Saccharomyces cerevisiae S288C: one gene and its partner. The protein of the gene in region 2 interacts with the protein of the main gene of each other region in a biochemical or structural test. Each region holds a gene or a part of one and is shown on either strand. Other genes may lie near its edges. The genes, in order: ISD11 and YAH1.

The links.
Region 1: the proteins of YAH1 (region 2) and ISD11 form a complex in vitro, tested with the Saccharomyces cerevisiae proteins (one study listed by BioGRID).

The regions. Positions count from the first base shown.
Region 1 is NC_001137.3:248,839-251,634, reverse strand, and holds ISD11 (Isd11p), read right to left. Parts: upstream 918-2,796; coding exon 633-917; downstream 1-632.
Region 2 is NC_001148.4:72,521-75,505, forward strand, and holds YAH1 (adrenodoxin), read right to left. Parts: upstream 1,362-2,985; coding exon 843-1,361; downstream 1-842. Other genes in the region: VIK1 (Vik1p), read right to left, coding at 1-486; ATG41 (Atg41p), read right to left, coding at 1,789-2,199. UniProt on the Saccharomyces cerevisiae protein: Iron-sulfur protein that transfers electrons in a wide variety of metabolic reactions. Involved in heme A biosynthesis and in iron-sulfur cluster assembly.

The DNA of each region.
Region 1 (2,796 bases), on a different chromosome or scaffold from region 2:
CGTGTTGTAAACGGAAGAGAACGGCTTCCAAGTGATGACTTGATTAATATATAAGCGAATTTTTTTTTTTTTTCACTTTTACCTAAGAAGTTTATCCGATGGAATGGTCCGAAAAAAGAAGATGCAACTATTACGCACATAAAGTAGGTGTAAGATCGCCCGATACAAACAATAAATAAGCAAATACTCATTTTATTGCATACTTCGGAAACTTTATGCCTGATGTAAAAGAATCCAAGCAATTCATAGGATCTCTCATTGCATCAGCTTGTTATCATACCGTAAAGACATCTCACCTCAGAGTGGGCTTATGTTTTAGTTATAGCGTTTTATATACAAGCTATAAACTCTCCTCTTATAGTCCCATGTGGGTTGAAGAAAAGAAAAGAAAAGAAAAATCTTCTACCAAAAAAGAAATGCTATTGATATTAAGGAAGTAAATTACATGATCTAATTGAAGTCCAACCATGCAAAGTATCGGTCGAAAATTAGGAATATCATCTAATAATATCTTTTCCAAATTAAAGGCGGCCACCTCTCTATAAGATATAACCATACGAATTTCCTGACGTGAGAAGGAAAAAATTACTGGAAAGTTCTTTCTTACATGCAATGACCAGTTAGGCCAGGTTTTAGTGTTTTCTTCCTTGCAATGGTTCTACGACCAGCCTGTCAAATGTGTACATCTGAGAAATAACAGACTGTCTTTTCAAGACACCTAAGTCGTTCTTAGCTTCCTTAAATAGGTTCATTAACACTTTTGGGTCTTGCTGATTCATGTTCTTTCTGAAAGTAGTCCTTGTTTTACTTAAAAAGTATTCCCTGAAGTTGTAATTATTGAATTGATTAGCATTCTTGATGAATTCCTTGTATAAAGACAACACCTGCCTTCTTGTTGGAGCTGTAAATCCAGGCATTTCTCTTCTTTCAAAAGGTGATTCCAAGTTCCCTATACTGCAGATAAAAATGGGAATAAAACTGCTATCCAAACTTCACTTGTTACCTTAGGCTCCGTAAAGTTACTGTGTAATTATATCAATTCCTCAATCATTTTTCTCCGCCGCTTATAAATGAATGAGAATAAATAGACTGCTATTACCCGGAAAGCGGGTGTTTCTCCAATAAATGCATTGTTTAATAATAAGTGGGTAATACAATATTGTTTGGATTTGATGGAAATAGCTATTGCTTTATCTACTTTACTGTGGACATTTGGGAACTAAAAAAACCTCTTTAACCAATATATTCAGCATATATTATGTAAAAATGAATAAAAAAGGTCCTACCCGGATTCGAACCGGGGTTGTCCGGATCAAAACCGAAAGTGATAACCACTACACTATAGGACCAGTACAACTGTAAATTGTTGTATCTCAAAATGAGATACGTCAGTATGACAATACGTCATCCTAAACGTTCATAAAACACAGATGAAACAACCTTATAACAAAACGAACAACATGAGATAAAACCCGGCCTTCCCTAGCTGAACTACCCAAACGTATAAATGCCTGAACAATTAGTTTAGATCCGAGATTCCGCGCTTCCACCACTTAATATGATTCATATTTTATATAATATATAAGATAAGTAACATTCCGTGAATTAATCTGATAAACTGTTTTGACAACTGGTTACTTCCCTAAGACTGTTTATATTAGGATTGTCAAGACACTCCGGTATTACTCGAGCCCGTAATACAACATAAATTTAGCCGTAAAAAAATCAACTAACCCTACAGTAAACTAAACGTAGTACTTTGACACCGATAAACAGGTGAAATATTGAAAAATCGGCAAAAAAATACATAATTATTAGCACTTTACTGTTATTGAACATTATGATATCAGGTATACAAGATATTAGGTATACAAGGTATACCTGAGAAACTGGTGAATAATTCGATAATTGTTGGCATTCCATTGTTGGGAGAGGCTATTATATCATGTATACAGAATATAGTAGAAGTTCTCCCCAAGAATATAGGAATCCTCAAAATGAAATCGATATCTCTACATAGTGATACAACGATTATTCCTCATTCCGTTTCATATGTTTCATTATCCTATTAGATTACATTTCAACTTTCACTAGATTTTAATACTTATAACACATTTTTAAGCAGCATGTGATAATATTCAGGTAACATTAATAATACTAAGCAGATGACATTGGAATTTCGTTACAACAATACCTCTAATATTGCTTCTGCCGAAATCAAATTATGATAAGAACCAATCATCATCCATCGTCTAATATTGTAAACTAGTATACCATCATATACGGTATAAGAAGATAATATAAATTGAGAGACAGCCATCAAAAATTGATGGAAACTGAAATGTAATCTAATAGGATAATGAAAGACAAAGTATAACGGGAAGGAAGATAAAGTAACACCATCGATTCTCTTTTGTGAATTCCTATAACGTCGGGAGAATTGCTTGTATACTATGTATACCTAATGTTATAGGATTCGGCAACAATGCAATCCGAACAATTATCAAATTACTCGCCAGTTTCTCAGGTATATATATTATCCTGAATGTTCTCTCCCAGGAGTATGGACCCTTAAAAGGCAAATCAATAATCTTAATATAATGTTTTAATTGTTTTTCTTTTTCTACGTTTCTGAAAATTACGATTAATCCATTCTATTAAATTGTCAACTCTGCGTTATTCCTTCACCAAATTTGAATACGAATCAGACAATTCTAAAATTACGTCATATTTTAACAACACATATCATAATATTCCACCAAAAGTCGCTTTTGATTAATAAATGATACAGTATTT
Region 2 (2,985 bases):
GGTTGCCAAAGCGGATTTGTTCTTCTTAATTAAATCAGCGCGTTCACCGTCCTTGGAGTTCAGATTTTGCGTCAAATCTCTAACCTGTTTGAGATACTTTGCTTGTTTGGATTTTTTCTTATAAAGTTCAAACCTGGACTTATTGAGATCTCGAAACTTGATGGTTTTGATTTCTCTTTCGCACTCAATCAATTGAGTCCTGAGAGTATGTCTTTGGAACCTTATTTTGTCTTGGCGGTCTTTTAAGTCCTTAATTTTGCTCATGTTGATGTTTAATGATGCAGATCGAGATACAGATGGGAAGGAATCCTTTACGGGTGGAAGAGCCAATGAACTCTTCATAGACGAAGGTCTAGAGCCATTCATGGTGTTTGTCGTGTTTGTGATATCCATAAGGTTTCGAGATTTTGATGAGGACACATTATCGGGATTGTGAAAGATTCTATTCTTTGAAAGAAAAGCGTGTTTGTTTTGCTGTGACGCCATAAAGTACACTGGTCAGGAAATGGTGCTTTTGCGAGGAGAATGTGTGTGTATGTGTGTGTTGTTAGGGCATTTCATATTCTATATTCATTGTTTTTTTGTTTTTTTTGTTTTTTCAGTTCTTTGTTTACCTATTTTTTCTTTGCCGCAATTGCAAATATTATTAACTTAATTGCGATTATTGAGACTAAACAATAAAGACCTGGCAGTGGAGGCATGACAGAGGATATCGCGAAACGATTGTTTAAGAGTATATTATAAAGTTGACTTGTTTCCTTATAATTATAATTATAAATATATATATATAGATTATTCACAGGAGAAATTGGGGGCACAAATGAGGGGTAAAAATGCAGACATTAACTAAAATCGTTGTTATTAACGTTTCTTGTCATCTGGGGCAGAGCGACTCTAATCCCATCGATATCTTTTGACATCTTAATCTGGCACCCAAGCCTGCTTGTCTCTGTTAGCCCGTAAGCAAGATCGAGCATATCGTTTTCATCATCTTCAGGTTCCGGCAGGGCATCGTAGTAGTCTGGATCAACGATGACGTGACAGGTGGAGCAGGCACAAGAACCGCCGCATGCGCCCTCCATGTCCAGGTTGTGACCTTGAGCGATGTCCAGGATGGTTTCGCCCTCACAGACTTCGTACGTCTTCTGGGAGCCATCCTTCAGAATAAAAGTTATCTTCAGTTCTTCGCCTGGTTTCGGTTTTTTCAAATGGCCATGGTTTAAGAACGAAGACGTAGAGAAGGGCAGAAATCTTGTGGTTGTGGTGGTGCGTGTGAGCAGAGATGGAGAGGTGCGTAAAAGATGTGCTGCGATGTTCGATATTCTAGCTGTGTGTCCAGCCCGAGTAACAATTTTCAGCATTGGGGGCGGGTTGAGTATAGATACGAGAAGCGCCTATTTCGTATGAGGTTTTTTTTTTCTATTATTATGTATATTAGGCATATATATACATATATATATTTTGCATACATATTCATTTTTAAAAAAATGCAACTGCTACACGCTTTGAAAGATTCAATGAAAAGTTTTTCCGACGACCAGAATTGGCTAGCAAAAAAACGAAAATGTAATGGAGTCATGCAAACATGACTAATAGTAACAAAAAAAAAAGATATAGTAGAATTGAGTAAGTAAGTTCTATGTATATTGTTGTTATTTTCTCTAAAAAAAAAAAAAAACTATGTAAAATTAGGAATTAAGAATATGCTTGGAAGGAATGCCGATTTAAAATGTGTAGGATATGCGATGCAAGGGGTCGTGAGAACAAGTAGAGATGTGGTAAAATGCGTCATACCGATGACAACCACAGTCTGTAGTTCTGTTGTGCGACATTGGCAAAGGCATCGTTACTTGCAAAGGCAAACCCAGAGGCAGAGTTAGATTCCTTACTAGCAGCAGCAACTGCACTGGCGGCGTTGCCGTTAAATTCCATATCGAACATGCAATCGTCTTCAGTACTCGTTATTATGTTGCTGTCCGTCTTATCTTTAGTGTGCGTGCATTCTGACTCATCGACAATCGGGTACGATAGCGGAAAAGTTAGCAATTCTTGCTGGTAAGATTGAGAAAAGTCATCGGCATAAGTCGATCTGTCCGGGCTATGCGAGAGCATAGGGGGCTCGAAAGCAACGTTTGAAAACGAAAGAGGGAAGACCTCGTCTTCATAGCGCGAGATGGGGGAAGATTCCACAGAGGACATTGTAAATAATTGTAATTGTATATTATTGTGTGTAAGTTTGGTTGGTTTGGTGTAGCCAATTTAGTTTGGTTTTCTCAAGAATAAAACAAGTAAGAAAGAAAGAGAGTTGCTCCAGACCCTTTCCGAAATCAAGATGAGTCCTGTTCTTATATATACCTTTTTACGCAGAGCCGCTTCTTTATGCACCGTGGAGTAATTACCGAATTGCAAAACCACCCGGGTGTGGATGTGGATGCAAAATAACAGTGAAATGAGTAATAACAATGGTCATAAACATGTGGTGTGCAATGTGTCATCTTCGCGCGCGTGCTAAAAAAAACGAATAACGGTGGTGATCCCGCGGCTTTCCACACTGACGGGGTCACGTGTGTTTATTCTGTTTTCTTCTAACGGCTTCTGTAGATTTCCGGACGGTTCCACGCAGCGCCACAGCTTGGTTCCAGATCGACGGAAGAGAACGTGCAACCCTTTGGGCTGGTTATGAAACAACGCAGATGGAGAATATGGCTCACAACCCCAAGGGACTTCTTGGTTTGGTTTTGTTTACAGTTTTTTGCTTGGCAAAGGTGCCATCGTTTGTCATGATAGCATGACGGTAGCAGGCATCATTGATTTTGCAACTGTTGCGGACCAGGACAGTGGGTATGGTGTAACTTCTGTAACACACCCACAAATGTGGTTGAGTCTCTAATGGAGATGAGTGAGTGGGCGAGCCAGGATAGGGTCTTTGGCATGTGCGGTGCTTACCCGGAAGGGAGATGCGCACGTGACTGTTGAAAAAGGGAA